5 linked regions of the Oryzias latipes genome follow. The protein of the gene in region 4 interacts with the protein of the main gene of each other region in a pairwise test. Links are inferred from orthologs where the notes say so. Each region holds a gene or a part of one and is shown on either strand. Other genes may lie near its edges.

Evidence for each region.
Region 1: the proteins of bend7 (region 4) and eif1ad interact in binary tests that used the Homo sapiens proteins (3 or more experiments, as listed by UniProt). The two-hybrid records come from large-scale screens. The link is inferred for Oryzias latipes from reciprocal best matches to the Homo sapiens genes BEND7 and EIF1AD.
Region 2: the proteins of bend7 (region 4) and lyar interact in binary tests that used the Homo sapiens proteins (3 or more experiments, as listed by UniProt). The two-hybrid records come from large-scale screens. The link is inferred for Oryzias latipes from reciprocal best matches to the Homo sapiens genes BEND7 and LYAR.
Region 3: the proteins of bend7 (region 4) and eaf1 interact in binary tests that used the Homo sapiens proteins (3 or more experiments, as listed by UniProt). The two-hybrid records come from large-scale screens. The link is inferred for Oryzias latipes from reciprocal best matches to the Homo sapiens genes BEND7 and EAF1.
Region 5: the proteins of bend7 (region 4) and psmf1 interact in a two-hybrid assay, tested with the Homo sapiens proteins (2 studies listed by BioGRID and IntAct). The two-hybrid records come from large-scale screens. The link is inferred for Oryzias latipes from reciprocal best matches to the Homo sapiens genes BEND7 and PSMF1.

The regions. Positions count from the first base shown.
Region 1 is NC_019868.2:26,091,204-26,095,250, reverse strand, and holds eif1ad (probable RNA-binding protein EIF1AD), read right to left. Parts: upstream 2,801-4,047; 5' UTR 2,640-2,800; intron 2,176-2,639; 5' UTR 2,144-2,175; coding exon 2,057-2,143; intron 1,935-2,056; coding exon 1,826-1,934; intron 1,020-1,825; coding exon 911-1,019; intron 843-910; coding exon 629-842; 3' UTR 264-628; downstream 1-263.
Region 2 is NC_019863.2:16,779,154-16,783,137, forward strand, and holds the start of lyar (cell growth-regulating nucleolar protein), read left to right. Parts: upstream 1-1,173; 5' UTR 1,174-1,511; coding exon 1,512-1,633; intron 1,634-2,788; coding exon 2,789-2,903; intron 2,904-2,980; coding exon 2,981-3,088; intron 3,089-3,189; coding exon 3,190-3,270; intron 3,271-3,465; coding exon 3,466-3,769; intron 3,770-3,879; coding exon 3,880-3,948; intron 3,949-3,984. Other genes in the region: zbtb49 (zinc finger and BTB domain-containing protein 49), read right to left, coding at 1-232, 327-478. UniProt on the Homo sapiens protein: Plays a role in the maintenance of the appropriate processing of 47S/45S pre-rRNA to 32S/30S pre-rRNAs and their subsequent processing to produce 18S and 28S rRNAs. Also acts at the level of transcription regulation.
Region 3 is NC_019874.2:26,172,723-26,176,801, reverse strand, and holds the start of eaf1 (ELL-associated factor 1), read left to right. Parts: upstream 1-1,277; 5' UTR 1,278-1,423; coding exon 1,424-1,526; intron 1,527-2,875; coding exon 2,876-2,970; intron 2,971-3,305; coding exon 3,306-3,442; intron 3,443-3,569; coding exon 3,570-3,742; intron 3,743-3,901; coding exon 3,902-4,079. Other genes in the region: mettl6 (methyltransferase-like protein 6), read right to left, coding at 28-162, 556-828. UniProt on the Homo sapiens protein: Acts as a transcriptional transactivator of ELL and ELL2 elongation activities.
Region 4 is NC_019864.2:20,635,886-20,639,875, forward strand, and holds the start of bend7 (BEN domain-containing protein 7), read right to left. Parts: upstream 2,808-3,990; 5' UTR 2,535-2,807; coding exon 2,471-2,534; intron 2,107-2,470; coding exon 2,041-2,106; intron 1,963-2,040; coding exon 1,609-1,962; intron 1,435-1,608; coding exon 1,318-1,434; intron 1,242-1,317; coding exon 889-1,241; intron 450-888; coding exon 342-449; intron 1-341.
Region 5 is NC_019863.2:32,757,108-32,761,386, reverse strand, and holds the start of psmf1 (proteasome inhibitor PI31 subunit), read right to left. Parts: upstream 2,809-4,279; 5' UTR 2,704-2,808; coding exon 2,575-2,703; intron 2,059-2,574; coding exon 1,912-2,058; intron 795-1,911; coding exon 712-794; intron 545-711; coding exon 356-544; intron 23-355; coding exon 1-22. Other genes in the region: pigu (phosphatidylinositol glycan anchor biosynthesis class U protein), read left to right, coding at 3,576-3,705. UniProt on the Homo sapiens protein: Plays an important role in control of proteasome function. Inhibits the hydrolysis of protein and peptide substrates by the 20S proteasome. Also inhibits the activation of the proteasome by the proteasome regulatory proteins PA700 and PA28.

The sequences.
Region 1 (4,047 bases), on a different chromosome or scaffold from region 4:
TAAATGTCACTCAATAAGGAAGCCTGACATTTTTAAAGAATGACACCAACAGCTTAGCTGTTGAAGAATAATTACAAATGTCATGAGTCATATTTTTTATGTCCTAAAAATTGGCTTCTCGGTGCCAGCAGGTACTTCCTGTTTGGAACGCGAGGGAGGAAGAGTTACTCAGTCCAACTGTCTAATACTGTTTATGGCTTCTCATTAAATAATCAGAACGCAACCAAAATCAAACATAACAAATCCAATCCAATGATTAAACATAATTTTTTAACAAATAGCATTTATTTGATTCCATTAGAGAAAATACGAGAACCGTCAGCAAAGATTTCCTGTTTGTCATAGAAACATGGCTCCATAGGAGATTTGCTGAAGAAGAAAAGCAGGAATGTGAGGAAAACAGCTGAAATTATCTCATCTGGATTCTTGCTGAGTTTCTATGATCACATAGAGACCGCTTCATGTGGAAACCATACATAAGGTTTCATAAAGTTCACTGAATGAGATCAACTCGCCAACAATCTGACCAGCAGGGGGAGCTGCTGCACAGAAGCCAACATTTGAAATCTTCCTAGATTCAGTCAGTCTGTGGTAATTATCAGTTCTCCATCGACCTTCATCGCTGCAGCTAAGAACCATTTTCAGTCACTGGTTTGTCCTCTTCATCAGTGTCGTCCTCCTCGCTCTCGCTGTACTGGTAGTTACATCGGTTTGTGTTTACAAAAAGGTCGCTGTCGTCCTCCTCGGAGCTGCATCCTTCCTCTTCCTCATGTTTTGTCTCCGCGTCCTCCTGACGCGTGTTTTCGTTATTGTGTGGCAGCTTCTCCGTGAAGCCCTCAGGCCTGGAGGGGAGCAGAGAGAAGCATGAGAGCCCGAAGCGACGCACACGTCCTTGTGTCTTCAAACTCACCAAAGCTGCTGTTTCTGAAGGTTCTGAATGTGATCTTTGTAGAGGATGAAGCTGATCTCCGCCTTCACCTTCTCTCCCTCCTCGATGGGATCCACAATCACGAAATCGCCTGAAAGTCGAGCCAAAAACACAAACCCCAAGAAAACGTATTTATAAAAATGACAGAATAATTGATTTCTATGACCAGTTTTTGCTGATCTAACTTCAGAATTTCATTACCTGTTCGTCTAAATTAAACAAGAAATTAAATTAATTTAGATTTAAAGGTTATAATATACTTTTAAGAGTTGTGGCTAAAATATGTAGTTTTTTTAGATGAGGAAAAACTGTTGTACTGTAATTTTTACATGAATACAGTTTGCTGAATAAATAAAAATAAAAAAAATAAAAAATGTAGGCAAAATTAATTTGTGATCATAATTTAAAAAGCTTTATTAGAAAATCTAAAAGTTAAATGCAAGTGGAACAATTCCAGACAAGAGTGTTTCCAAAAATGTGCTGATAGTTGATGTGCACAAACCCCCCTTAAACCAAAATGATGTCCAGATATTTAGGTTTGAAATACCTGAACATCGTTTTTATAAATCTGAAAATGTTCTTGCATTGGCATATCTTCCTTCTAGCCTGAAATCCAATCAGTTTTATGCACAGTTCTAATGTTCGAATGGTGTTGCCTCAACAGACAATAGGTCTTAAAACCAGGGAATTGAATCCAAGACTTCCATGTTATGAGGTTGGTTTGCTCTCCAACAGCCCCTCCTAAATGTATACAGTAAATCGACAATGTGTAGTTGCTTGTCTTTCAGCCTTAAGTCAAACCAAACACGTCTTTCTCTCCCAAAACCTTTTTTAGAGCAGTTTCAGGCATGTACATCTATAAACATCAGGAATAGTAACCGTTTTATAATCCCGTACCTCTCTTGATCCAGATGTTTTTCCGGAACTTGGTGGGCATGCTCACCAGGAAAGTCTCCCCCTGAGCCGTGACTGCTTCGTGCAGATTGTTGCCTCGACTTCCAACAACCTGAGGATGTGCAGTGGATGAAAAAAGGGAAGGAGGAAGTTTTTGTAAGATTGTTAACATTTTTTTACATTCCTGTTGATCTTTAATTATTAGGACAGTATTCTGCAAAACACTGAGTTCACCTTTACAATCTGCTGGTTTTCTGTCGGTGTGACAAAATCTCCAAGAACTTCCTTGACAACATGTTTGCGTTTGGTGGCCTGGGACATTATAGACAGTCAAGTGGTGCTTTGGTCGCCAGCTAACACAAAGAAAAGACAAAAAAAACTTAAAAATTGAATTTTTAGTATTCAAAGTTCAAGTTAAGATGCTTTTTGTTTTTTTTGTATGCGACACGATGTATAGTCTGAGGTTAAAATAAAGTTTGCTTCATTTAAATACAAAAGAGTTAATACTTTCCGAGGTGAGGGGGATCGTTGTGCGCATGTCAAATCAAATGTCCACCAAAAATTAGCAAAGCTAGCACTAGCACGGACAGAAATATCTCAAAACCCATTTCCAACCCATAAGGACGAAACTTACATAATTGGTAAGGGGAAAAGCATTATTATTATCATTGTGCAAGTTACCAAATATTTGTTTTTCCTTTAAGCTATATATACAATATATATATTGACATTCGAAATTTAAATCAATAATGCTAACGACTTAGCTGTGTAAGCAAACATTAGACCGTAACTTTTTTTCGTTCGTCGGTTTATTTACCTTGGAAAATAGATAATATTCTTTCAAAGTAGGATTTGAACCGGCAAAAGAAAAACTGAATAAAAACGGAGCAGAAATATTAGGACTTGAACAGAAGTTTTAGCCGTTTAGAGTCGCGTGCGGTTGTTAGTAAAAACACGGTGGAAGTAACCAAACACTTCCGGTATCACTGTTTGTGTGTTCAAAATAAAAGAACCTGTTTTGTTCACTTTAAATAGTAGTGCCTTTAAAAGGAATGATAAAACCCCATTAATGCTTGTTTCTTGTAAATAAGAATGAGTATAATCCTCCACATATCACAAATGTCACCAACATTTTTTTAAACTTTTTTTTTTGGTTTTGTTCAAACATGTTTCTTCTGAAACACCAATGATTACTTCCTGAAGTCTTGCCATGACCTGTAGGAAATGTAGTTTTTAGGCCATGAGTAACGTTCAAGATCACCAACATGACAAATTCAGATGTGCCAAATTAATGTCTTTTCTAGGTAAAAATTCACCATTGTAGACTGAAAAAGCGTAAACACTCTCCCTCTCTCTCTATATATATATAAAACTGAGGTTTTCGCCTTTTATATATATATATATCTATATATCTATATAGATATATCTATATCTATATCTATATCTATCTGCAATGGGAATGATTCCATATACACACATATATATATCTATATAGATATATATATGTGTGTATATGGAATCATTCCCATTGCAGATACTCTCCAACTGGATTGTTGATTTAGTCCAGGATTCCCCTTAAAGTGTGGAAAGACTTATGCTAAAGTTTATCAAGTACCATGTAACCCTTGTGCTATGCTAGGCACTTTAACGTTGGGAGTTGGGTCATCTAGACCCACTAGACACTTCTCTGAACCTTTTTTCTTCAATGATTTGTGATCTTCACTGGTGTCCATGGATTACAAGAAATCCTCTTCACCTTCATCCACTTTTGTCATAGTAGGGAGAACACATCAAAGTAAAACTGGGGTCATAGAATAGCACAAGGGTTTAATATAGGAAATCACTGAAATCCCTACAATAGTTTACCAAAGTCATAGTTAAAACCACCTCAATATCCAGAGGCACAAAAAGGTCAAAGAGCTACATAACAATTTATTAAATAATGGAGTGAACACATGTATGCATTTCTGGTATTGAATTTTATTTTTAATTATGCTCCAGAAAAAAACTTCCATACACAAGAGAATTAATGGTTCCAATCTCTTTATTTAGTTTTTGCCCATAATTCATCATTACAGCAGTCAAAATTGCATTTCAGGTGTGTAGTATTGTGTAGACCCCAGTAAAACCAAAGTACTAGTCTTTCAGGAACACAATAATACTTCAAAGAACTTCCAGTTAAGCTGAAGAGGCTTCAAGCTTTGGGCTCAGTCACTGCAAGTGGA
Region 2 (3,984 bases), on a different chromosome or scaffold from region 4:
GGAATGCATTTCCACGGGTGGGGGGCAAGGTTTGAGGAAAGCATTACACAAATTCTGAACGTTTGGAACTTGTAAGTTCTGTGCTATGTCTAGAAGTGCCTGTACATTCTCTTGGTTAATGTCCAGGTGGGATGTATACATGTAGTCCAATATTTGGCCAATGCCACTGACATCTTGGATAACCAAGTTAAAGACGTCATTCTTCTGACTGGGAGAATTTTGGAACAAAGACCTGAAAAACAAATGTAAAAAATGGTCATATCTCTTAGGGTTCACAGCAACACCTCATGTGGATATTCTGTTGTCAAATAAATGCATAAAAGTACCTAAAGTAGGAACTAAAAGCAGCCAGAACGTTTTTGTGAGCTTTAAAACAGACTCCTTTAACCACCAGCATGCAGTCACAAAGCAGCCCTTGGATTCTTTGCTCCTGGAGCTGCTGTAGGAGGTAGGAGCTGTGGCTGGACAGGGTCTCCATTTATGATCACTCAGCTTCCCCCCTTTTCAAAGCGAAACACACAAAAATCACATTTAAAACAACAACAACAGCCTGAGTTTACACGACTCAAAAGTAAAAGTTGATTACGAGTCAAAAGTAAAAGTTGATTAAAGGGTTGAACTCTAGTAGTGAGCCACACACCGCAGTCCATGTATAAATATATATATATATTTTTTCAAAAATAACTGTCATGTAGCTCAAGAATCGCTACAAGACCGTCCATGCAAAAATTTGACCTGCTACTAAGCTAACAGCGTGGCTATTCGAGCCATTTACAATGACAACTAATAAATAAACAGCTGACCTGTCTTAATTATAAAGGTGTTTATTTATATATATTATTTTACTATTGTCGATATCCATTCAGAGGGGTCCCAAAATCATTGTGAAGTGTTTCGTCTTTTATTGGGATGACGGGTCACTCGCGCTTAATAACATTACGTAACTTCCTGGTACAACGCTTATTTTGTACCCCTCGTGGGAAAGAAATACATCTTATACTAAACCCCCAAACAGTGGGACTATATACATTTCTAAAGTGCTGTTGAAATCGTAAATATACCTCTTTGTAGTATAATTATTTTGTGTTATGAAATGTAAAAAAAGGTTTTCAGGAAGAAAAAAAAAGGTCTGCGGAACTGGTGTCTAGTTAAAATTTCTATACGGAGAATCAAGACTGTAGCTTCAAGGAATGTAATCACGTGTCTGTTCAAAAGTTTAGACGGGAGAAACTCAACCCGCACGTTTACGCTCAAATTAAAATTTTAAAGAGGTTAATTTAACGGGCTCTAATTTTTGGGTATTTTTAAAGACAATGAAGGTTTTGTTCTTTGTCATGCGTTTTTTATAACTTACTAGAAAAAACGTTAGCTTGCCGTAGGCAGGTCTCTAGTCAGTGCATTAATTGATGGTGTTTAAAGTGGTTTAACTTTCTGTCGTTTTGCTGGTTTAATCTACATATTGTCTTTATTAATTTAGAGAAAGGTTGCTTCTGTGGATAAAATTGATCAAAATGGTGTTCTTCACCTGCAATGCGTGTGGCGAGTCTCTGAAAAAAGCCCAGGTCGATAAACACGTGAACATCTGCCGTGGGTGTCAGGTGTTGTCCTGCATTGACTGCGGAAAAGATTTCTGGTAAGACCAATTGGGTTATTTCTAAACATTACAAAATATCGTCGGGAACAAGTTTGTTTTTCCTCCAACCGGTGCCATGGTACTAGGCTGCAGGTTACCGTAGTGCCCTGTAGGCTTACTTGATTTGTTTCTTTCTCTAAACTGATTTTGATTGCCTTGGGCTTCTTTTGCGTTGTCACGTGCCTGCTAGCCCTAATTTGACTATTTCCCACCACTTCTGGGTCTGAAGTGGGATACGGGTGCATCGATCAGCTGTTGTTGCTTGGCAACAACAAAATTCCACCAGAGAAGTGACCGGAGATCGAAGGAGAGGCTGAGGAGACTGGGGTCTCTTCAGAGTTTACAGGACTCTTAAGATTTTTTTTTATTGTGGCGAAGTCCTGGGGCGGTGGCGGATGCACTAACTGACATAGGAAGAGGATCAACAAACTGGTATGGAGATACGACTCCATTCTGGATGTCCCTTATAGAGTCTGTGACTGTGGAGGGTCACAGGACGATGTTACAGAAACTGAAATGCATCATGGACAATCCTCTTCATCATCATCCTCAGCATGAAACCATGGACTTCAACACCTTGTCACAGAATTTTCTTTCTGTTAGCTACTAGACTCTACAACACCTCATAGACACTGGATGTTGGAGCCAAATTCACAGTTTATATTTAATAGTTATTTTTGGAGCCAAATGCACTGTTTTGATTTAATAGTTAATTTAAATAATTATTGTTTGAACTTCCAATTAAAAACCCTACGTCACAGAGATGCTGTTAGTGAGACTCATTGTTGATTGAAGCCGGAGAAAGTTGGAAGCGATATCGTTTTTTGACTAAATTGTAGTGGCACTCTCTCTGCGTGTCTCACTCGCGTTTCAAATAACAGTTGCCGGACAGACGTCAAACGGTGGAACAAGAGAAAGACACAGAGAGAGTGCCACTACACTGGGGAATAATCACTGTTCTTCATTTTTAAGTGTATTTTTTAGTATTAGTTATTATCTATCTGCTGTTTTTTAATAGAGCTATGGTAACACGGAAATTTCCTTTTTGTGGGATCAATAAAGATTTATTCTCTTATACTCTATTCTAACGCATAATGAGCTCTGTGACTGACCAAGTAACGCATTCAATGTGACTCTTTTCTGCGTATTACCTAGGGACGACGACTATAAAAATCACACTAAGTGTATCAGTGAAGACCAGAAGTATGGGGGGAAAGGCTTCGAGGCCAAGGCAAACAAAGGCGATGTCAAACAACAGCAGTGGTTACAGGTAAACATCTTCCCAAGTTCGATTATATGTGAACATTTGTTTTTCTTTTGGATCCTGACTTGTGTCTTTTCCTGAAGAGAATCCATGAAGCCCTGAACAAATCAAGCATCAGTCCCAAGCTGAGAGATGTGCTCAGGCAAGTCAGTGCATACGACAATGTCCCCAGGAAGAAAGCCAAGTTTCAGGTTGGTGTTACCAAAACTTGTAAGAAGGGTTTAGGCTTTTACCAGGAAGATTATTAAAATGTGTATTTACTTATTACTGTTAATGTTTTTTCTTCTTTCAGAACTGGATGAAAAACAGTCTAAAAATATCCAACACAAGCCTACACGAGGAAGTGTGGAACATAATTGCTGCTGCCGTCGATGTAAGTAGCTGTTTTGTTTGTTAAAGTAAATATTACACTAAATTATTAGCTGGGGAGCCTAAGCTTTAATGGAAATCAATGGAAAATAATATTAATGTGATATTTAAGGGCTGGAAATGTATTAAGTGTTGTGTAATACCGTTCATTCTTTCACTGTACTGTTGTTTTGCTTATCTGTAATCTTTTGCACCCCAGGTTCCAGAAGATACACAGCAGCACATGGAGAAAGAAGCTGAAGTCCAAGCAAACACTAATGGAACTCAAACTCCGTTTGGCCACGAAGATGTGAAGAAAAACAAAAAGATGAACAAAAGAGAACGCAAAGAGGCCCGGCAGCAGAACAACGGAAAAGCTCCAAAACTATATGACGAACAAGTCACACAAGAGCAGAAAGAAAGCCAAACAGGGAAAAGGAAAAAGGATGGAAAAAGAAAACACAAAGAAGCAGAAGATGAAGAGCAAAACTGTGATGAAAATGAGATATCTGCCAAGAAAAGGAGTAAATAACATTTTTTTTTCTTATTACAACACTTTTTTGTTTGTTTGATAAAAAGGATGGTTTTTGTGTTTAAGGCCTGTGTTCCTGTTTTCTTTCAACCTTTTTTCCAGTTAAGGTTGCAGCAGAGGCTAATGATGCTGAGATGTCAAATGAGGCTGAAGATCAAGCTGTTCCTCTGGGTAAGTTAACTCTAGACTGACTTAACCCAGTGGGTT
Region 3 (4,079 bases), on a different chromosome or scaffold from region 4:
ACAAAGTTGTTGTGGGAAATGCCTCACTTTTACAAACTCAACAGCTCGTGGGGAGAAGTCACAGGCGTAAACAAATATGTTGAGGTCGTCCTCCAGCAAAGGAAAGAGGCAGTTTCCCACGCCGCAGCCAGCTTCCAACAAAACCAACTTCTGGGACTCAAACTGTGAAGCAAAGCACAAGAATAACTGGACATTAGTTTAATAAGCTTGTTTGGCCATCTGACCTACAATATTTTTCAGCATCTTAAACTTTAAAGAAGCATAAATAGAGTATAGTTTAATATTTTAATATTACATTTAAGTAATTAATGTGAATATATTATTCATATTAATATATTTTAATTTATTAATTAATATATGATTTAGGGTTTTAAAAAATGGCGTAATTACTAGATAATTTAACATTTATAAATAATCTGAAGAAGAAGAAAGAAATCCCTATTTGATAGATAGAATGTTCTACATGTTAAATAGAAGATTATTTATTTTGTGAGTATAAAACAAGAAATAGAAACAGATGAAGACTGGTAAGTCCATGTATAAAAGTAATCTTACCTCACGACACTCTTTGAGTTCTTCAAATTCCCTGGTTGTCCAGTGTCTGTCTTTGAAGAAATTTGTGGCGTTTCTTTTGTAAAACAAGTCCCAGTTTTTTCGAGCTTCTTTCTCCAGTTTTATTTGTTTGAACTCAGATACAAGAACTCGCTCAGTTTTGAATCTACCCTGCTCCTCCTGGGTTAAATCTCTGGAGGAAGATGTTTTCGTTTGTCCGGACAGGCATGTTGGTGTGTCGTCCGTAGACTCGGTATCTTCGGCTCGGTTCATCATATTTCCACGCTGCTTTAAAGTTTTTGGAGATTTTTTTCCGTCTTTCTTTGTACAAAGTCATTAATTTACGACATTTTCAGTTGTTATTCCTGAACATTTATGCAGTTTATTACGTTTTCAATAAAACAATATAAAATAAAAGGTTGAATAAGCTAAATCTACAATAAAAAACCCTACTTCAATTTCAAACAATTCTTTTCATTTCCTCTGTTGTGTACGTTCACGAAATCCTTCCGATGAGTGCACGTAATTGCATTCCGCGTTGCCATCTGGCTTTTTATATAAATTGTTTATGAAACTAAAATGTACTAAAATAATTCTGTTTGATAAAAAACTAATCTAAATGCAAATTATCATTTAATAAGACAACCAAGTTTTATCACAGTTTTTGCCGCCGTCTGATCTTAGAGGTAGTTCATAGTCGAACCAAAATCAAAAGAGAGCACAGTGACGTCAGGGATGTTTTGCTAACTGTTAGCTTCTGCAGCTAGTTTTATCTTCCAGTTGGATTATCCTGTTTCTTCCCAGTTGCGACTGTTAGCTCACTTCTTATTACCAATATACGTAAATGTTAGACTTTTAGACAAACTGAACCATGAACGGTAGTACAAACCCGCTGCTGGACAAAGAGGAGCATGTTTTGAAGCTCGGAGAAAGCTTTGAGAAGAGGCCAAAATCTTCCTTTCACACCATCCGATGTGAGCGTGAGACCGCGTTGTGTTTACAAGACCTTTAAGTTCTTAACAAACTCTGGAGTGCGGCTGGTTATCTGCTGTAAATGTAGAGGCTCTCTCTCCAAGACTCTCTTCAATACTTTTCAGTCATTTGAAGATAAAAGCAGTTTGTTTTTTTGGTTGAGCTTTTACACTTTATGCTATTAACTACCCAATACTTATTTTACTACACCAAAGTTTATCTAATTTTTTGTGAGAAACAAGTTTTTTATATTTGCCTCCAACCAGGACTCATTTTTTAGCCTCCAGCTCCACATGGAGTGGCAATTGAAATTCTCCTTCAAAATAAAATGCAGATCCTATCTGTTGTAATAAACACAATCTGGATTGTTGGGGCATAAATGCTGAATAAAACAACTGGATGCAGGGACAACGGTTTATAGTCTTCATCGTGTTTCTTGTTCAGTGTGGTATTTAGAGATATCCAGTTTTTCTCAGAGGATTCGTGTTGCTTTATTGAAGTAGATGTTTGAAGTAGATGTTTCACAATATAGGATTTATTATTGATACCAAAACACTTTTATTGTGACGCCTAGGCTTGGAATTGCATTTTATTTACACTAAAAAGCTTTTCTGTTTACTTTTATTAAAAAAATTCATACTGTTATTCACTCAGGTTCAATCATATTGTTTCCATGACCAGTTATGTGAAGACAGTTTGAAAAATGTAAACAAAAATTAAAATAGAAATGCAAAAAAAAGAAACGATTCAATTGCTTTGAGTCAAAGCCTGTGTTGTATTTTGAACTTGTGTGTCAAAATAGACTTTGGCTGGACTTGGGAGAGAAACCATCCGTGTTACAGAGCTGTTGTAGTAAAAGGGTTTTATGATGCATGTGATGTCCTATTTTAAACACTGACCTCCCCGCGTCACAGTATTCCATTTACTCATTAGTTCACTTTTAGATCTCAGTAAAAGTCACCTTGGGGCATTCTCCGGAGAAAGTGGTCATGTTAAATTCAAACTTTGAATGCAATTGATTTATAGTGTTATAAAACATATTCAATTTGTTTTGTACAGAACAAAAAATTATCTGTATTAAATTAGCATTTTATCTCATTTATTATAGTTGATAGAATTACAAATGCAGCCAGGGAAAACAACCCACATTATTTTTTTCATCTTATGCTAGTATGAAATTACTGTAATTGCTTTTTTGTATTTTGGTTGTTTTTCCCTTCCAGGTAGTTATTCTCCAACTGTAATTATAATTCCATATATGTGTGAATGCCAGTTCACGGTGTTTCCCTCTAAATAAAAAAATAGGCAATCAGGGAGAACACAAATTTGACTCGATACATTTCATTTCCAGATGACTTCAAACCAGCATCGATTGACACCAGCTGTGAAGGGAAGCTACAGGTCGGAAAAGGAGATGAAGTTACAATAACGTTACCTCATATTCCAGTAAGGCTTTCCTCTTTTTAACAATCTGGTCAGAGATGCATGCACATCATGATCTGCCTGATCTCTGCTGACTCATGTTTTCTGTCACAAAAAGGTCTGACAGCTGTTTTGATCAGTCACAGTGCAGTCAAAAAATCTAAGCAATCATGTGTCTAAAAAAATTATGTTCTGAATGTATCCTAGAATTGTGACTGAAAAAGTCTGTTTATCTTCACTATAACACTGCTCTTGAACAAGATGATGTAGTTTTTTTGATTTTGATGTAACCTTCTAAAAGGGCCCTTTTCCAAGCTTTAAATACATAAAACTGCAACTACCTGTTCTTTGTCTTTCAGGGCTCCACACCTCCAATGACAGTATTTAAAGGAAACAAGCGACCGTATCAAAAGGATTGCGTGCTCATCATTAATCATGACACGGGCGAATTTGTACTGGAGAAGCTCAGCAGCAGCATCCAGGTTAAGAAAACAAGGTGGGATGTCAGTGTCCTGGTTTCCAGAGTCCTGCTGACTTTGGGTAGTAGATGTGTATTGTCTATAAGATCTTTAAATTGCTCAAGATGAGGAAAAGTTGGCTGATGTATGTATCTGTGCGAACAGAGCGGAGGGCAGCAGTAAGATCCAGGCTCGGATTGAGCAGCAGTCGGTTCGTTCCAGCCAGCCCGGCTCTCAGTTCCGAGCCCCAACCAAGCCGGGAACTGGGATCAAAACATCCCCATCCCCATCTAAGGACAACCCCTCTCCAGAGCCTCAGCTGGACGACATTAAGAGAGGTGAGGAGGTTCCTGCACTGTTGGTGTTTTACAAAGTCATGATTTCTCAGAAAAAACCCTGCTAAAGATGACAAAGAATGAAAAACATTTGGACAAATGTGAGTACAAAAAAAGACAAGACCTTGAAATATGAAATGCTGATCTTGCTGCTGTCGACAGAGCTGCGGGCAGAGGTGGAGATGATTGAACAGATGAGCAGCAGCGGCAGCAGCAGCTCCTCAGACTCAGCCAGCTCCTCGGGGAGCGGCGACGACAGCAGCAGCAGCGACGGCGAGGGCGATGCTCCCCGGCCGCTCAGCCAGAACTCCCCCAGCCGCAACCCCATGGCCAACGGAGG
Region 4 (3,990 bases):
TTCTGGGCGGGCCACAAGCTTTTGAGCAGCGGAGATGGGAAGTGGGGCGGGGTTTCTCACAGCCACAACTCAGAAGCACATTTTTAATGAACTACTGCCGCTCTGCAAAAATAATTTCCACGAAAACAACGCAGGTATTTTGCATTAAGGCTAAAAACTGCATAATCATAATTAAAAGACCATTGAGAATGCTTTTAAACAGCTCAAAAGATGATCAAAGTGAGCCTTTCAACAGAAAATTGCCAGATATTTTGGGATCAAAAAATGGAAATAGTCATTTAAAAAATAGAAACTAAAAATAACACAAAAAAAAGAGGGCTCCAAATTAGCTGAATGCATACCAGTTTGCGAAATAGGAGACTGCCAGAGCGGGTGTAGTTGACCAAGATGGAATCTAGCTGAGCTTTAGATATAAACACGTCGTATTCCTCTGCAAGACGGACCTCACTCTGTGATGGAATACAGAACAAAACAATTAGTCGTTCCAAAAATTAAACAGAAATGAACAACTGAAATTCAGAACTGGGTTTAAGAACTGAAGTCAAAAAGGTTGAGACTTCATTGTACAACAATACATTAAGGTCATTTTACATGGCTCAATAAAGATAAAGTTTACACCAGGTGTAACTCAGAAAGAAGCCAGTCTCATGACATTTTGCTTGGAGTCTGTTTAGTCTTTACAGAAATTTTAGATCTTGTGTGTCTTGTAAAAAGTTCTAAAAAAAGCAACTTTCTTATTCTGTTCAACAATTTATATCAATTACTTTACATTTTTGTTTTTTGATAAATTTAGCAAAACATTAAACTTAAATCAACAAACTAAACAAAGTCTAAACTTTCTAAGAAATTTTGCAACAAACTTTACAGAGAAACAAATTAAGGTTTTACCTCTGATGCTTGAGTTTCTTTTGGTTGGCTTAAGGTAGGATTATGAATTTTGCTCACTATTCCTGAATCATTCTGTTGTGACTGTGCCGAAATATCAGGGGAAATGGGATGCATGTTCAGCACTGACGAGTCCAGTTTCTCACATTTTTCCCTCTTTGCAGATTCTGCTGGTGGTGCAGCTTGATGCGCTGAACTTTCCACAGGAGAAAGAACAACTTTTTTACTGCTGGAGACAGTAAGAGGCGCCACCCTGTAGTAAGACTTTCTTTTTCTGTGAAGACTGCGCGGAGTGGAGCCCAGGCTAAAGCGAGGTTGGCATACTGGTGTTGCTTGTTGATGCTTTCCAAAGGATGCTAAATAAATGAAAGACAAAAACCTGTTATGCCTTCTTTATGTTTATCCCAGTGCAATTTGGCCACATTTTCTGACCTTTCTGAGTCTGCATCAGCCTCCTCATGGCACGCAATTCCTGCAATATAGCCTCTAGAGTGCCTGTACAGTTACACATACAGCACGAGCTTTCTTGGACTGCAGGTTGCGCCACATCTGGAAATGCAGAGGTGCTTTAATGAGTGATACGATCCATGCAAACATTGGCAAAGTGGACTTTCTGACTGGAAAAAAATGGTTGAATTGCTGTCTTTGATTTACTAAATGTAAAAAAAACCCTACTTTAATGTCAATTTTAATAGATTTTTCACAGATTGTTTATTGTTTTACCATTTTGTTCATTGGTTTTGCTCACATCCTTGGTTTTGTTGAAAATCCTGAGGGATCTGGAGCGAGTGCTGTACTGGCCATAGTTTGGACCATTGGGGACAGGTATAGATGGGGATGGCACAGAAAGCTCTGAGTGTCCGGTTGACAGCCAGCTGTTGCCTTGATGGTCATCTGGTACCACAGACAGGAATGGAGGCTGGTGAATCCAACTCAGATGCTTATCCTGGGAATCATTTGTTGTGCCGTCACAATCTGCAACAACACGCTGATACACTCGGCCAGTCTTGTCCCTCAGAAGCCTCATCATTCCTGTGATTTGCCTCTTGATCTCAACACCTTCATCTTCCAGCCAAACTGCATTGAGGAAAAATGGGTGTGGGCGCAGGTATAGAAATGGTAAAGTGACAAATCAATGCTCAATCTGACACATACCATCAGACACAACTGCATCTTTAGTTTTGCCATCCTTGCTGCTGGAATTCAGTGAAGAATCATGGTCTGCAAGTAAAACAAAAGGTTGTTGCTGTAAACTTGTGTAAAAAAGCCGCAATGACTGTCAACAAAAGCAGACACCCCCACCCCCCTTCCCATCTCATGCAGAAACCACCACCTGTAGGTTGTATGAAGTAGTTTTCGAGAGAGGCTGCAGCTTTAAAAAAGGTGAACATCCTGCGCTCCTGTTCTGGATGTGCAACAGATCAGAACATCCTTCATTGTCACGATCCACATAGAAGCTGGGGATGACGATTTGAACCCTCCAAACCCAGACATGCCGTGGCCGCCGCTTTTGTTTACGCGCACAGCAGCAGACACACAGCCAGCCAGCCAGACACGCGTCTCCTGCATCCATTCAGCAGCTTACCTTCATCTGCGACCAGTTTGAAGCTTTGCGACTTCCTCCTTCTCCTTCTTTCTCCAAATTCCATCTTTTTCCCGCAGGTCGAGCTGAAATACGCCGTTCAGAACGACCAGCCAGGGACCGAAACCCTGAGTGGAATCACCGTCTGTCCGTTTGCCTTATTAAACAGTTAAATTTCCTCCCAGTCAGCGCGTCCGATCCTTTCACCAGCAGATTCCCAGCCCGAAAAACAGAAGAATATTGTTGAGTGGATCCATTTCCCCCGATATTACTACCCCGACCCTCCCTCTGGTCATGTAAATGAATTGATGATTTTAATATAAGAATTGGTTATATCCCTTTGCGCCACCTGATGGCATGTTTCATTAAAAAGGTCGGCACATATTTGCCAGTCACTTCAGACAAAAGCCAGCGTTTAAATAAAGGCGGTCTAAACCCAAATCGTTGTTTTTCATTTCTCTTCCCCAATTAAATATCCTCTATTTGGTTTAACGGCAATGATAAAAAAAAGACAACTGAAAGCCGGACATTCGACAGCTGGAGCAGAAAACTCAAAAATATAGATAAACGTAATAAATAATGCCAAACAATAAAAGCACTTTGGGTGACCCGAGTTGTAAAGTGCTATAAGTAAAGCTTGATTTGATTAGAAAAATGAAACTTTTGAAAAAGTGAATGAATGAATACACTTACTCTGTTTTAAAGCAGCTGACATACCACAGGATTTCAATTTGACAAAAAAAAAACCTTTTAGAAAAGTAGCTCAAATAATAAAGAGATTTCTTTGGCTTTGGTTCGCAGTATAGTTTTCTGAATTCATCATTTAGAACTTAAAATTATTTGTTTTAATTTGGGCTTTCAGGCTTTTTGAGTTATTGTAAATGGGATGTTCATATCAGCCAACACTTCTTTTTACCTTATGGACAAATGATGGACACAATGAAACAAATAGAAGCAGCAAAAACCCACGTGACTTACTAGCCGATCTAGCAGGGTCTGCAACACAATATCAAAGCAGGAATGGACAAGAACGACCACCATTAAACGAGATAGATTGTGTATAAAGTTTGACAAAAATAAACAGTTTTATTAATTCGGATTGCACGATTTCTAAGTTACTTTCAATCAAGTTACTTCAACACAGATGAAGTAAAATTGCCCCCCCCCGGTCTCCAAAAGATGAACTAAACTGGCTTAACATTTAAATAAATGAGATTGACTAAAAAATAGTTCTAAATAGTTGCCATTATCTTACGGAACCCGTAACGTTTCGCCAATTTTTGTGACAAAGTTTAACACAAACAAGCTGTGGTTTGCTAGGACAAAAACGGAATTTTGTTAAGGAATAATTTAAAAGTTCTCTCTCTCAAAGCTTTCTAGCTTTGTGGTTGTTGTTTTCATATCCTTGCTTCATGTTGCTTTTTTTTCATAATAAATGTGTTTTTTTTAAATGATGGTTTCAAACCTTTCCATTTTTTAGCTGGAATGTTTAAATTAAAACTTTGAAAATAAAACAGATGAAA
Region 5 (4,279 bases), on a different chromosome or scaffold from region 4:
AGGCGGAACTGCAGGCTCACGCCTGAAAAACAAAGCGTTCATCAAATGATGAAGAATCACCTCACCTTCATCAGGAGCAGCACAGCATCCGTGATGACTGTTTCCTTCCTGACAGAATAAACCTTTCAAAATAAAAGCTCATCTTTAGATAGACTTGTTTCTGCTTTTATCCTTTAAAGTTCAGACGGATCTAACAACTCATTCAGTTCTGTGAGAAAATAACAGGAATTTATTCCTGATTTTTACTTTAACGTCATTTCTTTTAACTTTCAGAATATAGAAATATTCTAGAAAGAGAGAATAAAGACTTCTTTATCCCATCGCTGTGATCAAATCAATGCCAGAATTTCCCAACCATGGATGCTGCGTTCCCGGACCAGGACGTCTGCTGGGAATGCGTAGAGGGTCGTCCTCCTCTCTCCTCCTCCTTCCTCCTGCTTCGTCCTCATCCTCCCGCAAACTCCTCCTCCCTGCTTTCTTCTCCTGGGGGGGCAGCAGCTGAGCCCTCACCTTCTCTGACAAACCGTCTCCATTTATGAAAACCCTTCAGAATAAAAGCCTTCAGTCAATCATTTCATCCAGATTCAGGGTTGCTACCTCTGCACCCGCAGCTCTTATGGTCTGCCCTCCTCACCTGTGACTCTGTGACCCTGAGGGACTGAAAACAGGAAGAACTGCTGATTCCTGTGGGGGACGTTTTTTTACACCGACCTGTCAAACGTGTCCAGATGGTCGGCGTCCACGTGATCCTTCATGTTCACGGTCAGGTCGGTCACCTGCTGCGTGCTGCAGTTCTTCAGACACACAGAAAGCAGACGCCGTCACACCGCCGTTACCTTCAGCTGGAATCTGACGTCAGCATTTCTGAACGACGATTGTTCAGAGTTTCTGTGACGTTCGTGACGCGTGGACTCATGTTCAATACAACACGAGTCCACATGTCTGCAGGACGTGAACGGAACAGAAAAATAACATGCCACCATAATAAAGATTGAAGAAACAGACAGAGGGCTGTACCGACTCACTGCACAACTACACATAATATATTCACCAGGTTTCTGCTTCAGAAATATTTATTGTTTTCCTGTTTCTCTTTATTCTAGTATCTTCAGCCATGTTTTGCAGCTTATCTTCTACAGTTACTCATCTATTTCAACCATCCATCTATTCAAATGTTCGGCTCTTTCAGCTTTTTCCAGCTGTGACTTTTGGTCCTTCAAATCCTTGAACTTTTCCAGATATTCCAGGATTTCTGCCTCCATTTAAATAAATGGGGAATCCTTGGTGCAGAAGCTCGCTGGTTTGATACCCGGCTCTGGCATTTTTCACAAACATTTTTGTTATTGTGCTGTTTTCACTTTATTTATGGTCAACTTTGATCATTTCTTTATTTTTTGCCCGTTATTCCCCTTTAAGTTTCATTTTCATTCAGCAGTACAGCATTTAACCGGCATTTTCTTCTAGAAATGCAGCTCCTTCTAGTTTAAGTTTCTTTTTGAAGACCTTTTCAGAACTTCTGCTGGGAAATCAAAATAAAAGAAAACCATCAAAGTTCAAACCTAAAGCCATCTGATCTTCATTCAGAAAACCTTTGTTAAAATCTCTGACTGCTCTCTATTTTTTTAATTTGAAGCTATTCCACTAAATCTTCACCTTTCAACAGTTCTGAGATGATAAATAACGCCTTTGTGTGCTCCCTACATCATCAAAACACGTCTGATGTTCTAAAACGAGCCAAATGTTGCCATGAAACCTAAAAGCGGCCTCTGTGTTTTTAAATTTCAGATTTGTTTCTCTGTCGTCTCAGATGTGAGGTTCGCTGCAGACTTTTTGCATTTAATGCTTCGTTCTCCCTCATTCCAGCAGAGTGCCCACCCCCTCATGTCCTGAAGGACCCCCCCCCATGCCTACCATCAGGTTGAATATCACAGCAGAGTCCACGGGGACGGCTTTCAGCAGCATCTTTGCGTCCGCGCCTTCGTAGCGGAGACTGTACAGCTCCTTGTTGCTGCTCCAGTCTGCAGGCAGGAGCTCCGACTTCCGGTCACCGCTGCGGGGCTGGGGGGAGGGACGGGGGCGGGGGGGGGGGGTGAGACACCCTCTCTTTCAAACGCTTCTGTGCCCCCCCCCCCGCGCTAAAGATGACGTGACACTTTTTGCGGAAAGTCCATTTGTTTAGTATGAGACCAAATGGCGCGTGCCAACTGCACGAGACTAAAAATCGGACTAAAACATGACTCAATGCAGAACTTTAGGAGGTCAAAGGTCACCTAGATGGAGGAAGAAGAACCAACTCAGCGGAGGTTTCCTCTGAATCGCCTGCAGGACAGTTTCAGTTTCCATCCTGATCCTCCTGCTAATGTAGCAAAGCTAACATTTATTCCCACAGACTGAGAGTTTAAATCAAAACTGTAACTCAGAGGGACTTCAGAGGCTGTCAACAAACTACGATCTAAAAGTAAACAAACAGCATTAACTTGGTTCGTCTCGTATCTTAAATGTGTTTAAATAAAACCAGAATGTGTTGTTGGTTTGTCTCTTCTGGTTCTGCTTAAGTTAGCTAGTTCGACCCACCTCGTCTCCGGAACCGATGCACCGGTATCCTCCCTTGATCATTTCCCAGTGAACGAAACACACGAGGGCGTCCTGAGGACAAGTCAGGCTACCTGTGACGCAGGTGTACAACACCTCCAAGCCTGCCATGTTGTCTCACAAACCAACAGCACAGAACAAGAACAGAAAACAAAAATCGCAGAGTCGTCGCTTCCATAACAACCACAGCGACTTCCTGCAGGGATTTTCAAAGTAAAAGCACGTGGCTTTTAGAGGATTGCAGAAAACACATACGACACGCTAAAATAGTATTGTAGACGTGATACAGTCACAATTTAGTAATCAGATATTTTTAAAACGAACAACGATAATCTACTTCAACGTGACGCTAACACAGGCCCACAAAAGCGTTAATTTTATTTTATTTTTAAATACGCCCCCGGAAACAGTAAAATAGTTTATTCCAACTAGACGGCGAGTTGCAGTTTTGTTTTGATCCGTCACATAAATCTTTCGACTGAAAACACGCAAATGACAAAACATTCCGCATTCCGGGGTGATTAAAGAAAAACGCCTGTAATATGTGCTATATTATTGTTTAAAATTACAGCGTCTTTATGTATATTCAGCATATGCAAAATTAGAACTAACAACAAGATCATATGAAAACTCCTCTGTTGAGATTAAACTCCTTTTCAAGTTGTTTAAAATGTGTTTATTTACCTTTACACATAAAATTAAATACAATATTTGATTAAAACAAAATTCTAATCTTGATTTTAATTGCTTGAATTATGCGTTTTAAATAGTCTTTTTGTAAATATGTTCCTTTATTATTATTATTATTATTATTATTATTATTATTATTATTATTATTATTATTATTATTAAACTCGCTCCTTATCGCTGCTTGGACTGTAAATCTGTGGAGGTTGGAGGTAAATGTTTTCCTGACGAGACGGAATAAACTTGACTTCCCAGCATGCACCTCGAGCGCAGGGCGAGAGAGCTTCCTCGCGAAGATGGCGGCTCCCTTGACGCTCCTAATGATTGTCGCCGTGACGGTCCGTGCCGTTCTATTCCGGTCCAGTTTGGCGGAGCTGATTTCAGAGAGGGTGGAGGTGGTGTCACCGATTACTGCCTGGAAAAGAGGTGAGCGGGCCGCCGGCGGGGGTCCGGAGCGCACCGGTCACACACGCCTCGCACCCGCGCGCCTCCCCGCTGCGCCGGTAAACCGGTTCGGCGACAAAATCTGTCACAAAAGAAATCTGTAAATGTTTGGAGAATGGTCGACGAAGGTGAAACGGTGTCAGACTCGGACTCTGATCCGATTTTTGGTCCCCAAAAAAACCCCGAACTGAAGGAACTCATCTCTGATTATTATCATCGATTGTTACTCGTACAAGTAATCTATTACATTTGAATATGACACTGTCAGAGCTGTAACGCCTTCATTAACTGAAAGTGACTTCAGTCAAAGTAACGACAGGAGGTTCTGCAGAGGAGCTGTTGGGTTGTCCTGCAGGTTCTGATGGATGAAGAACATGTTTGGGTTCATCCATGTTCCTGATCATCTGATCTGTTGTCAGATTGTTCCCGGTCGTTTGTTTCTGATGATGATGCCGTTTTTAGCCCAAAATCCTGTCTTTTTCTAGGACATAGTTTCTGCAGAGCAGCTGGAGTTCAGTAGAAATCCACCTCTCCTCTGAGTTGCCTGTTGGCATGG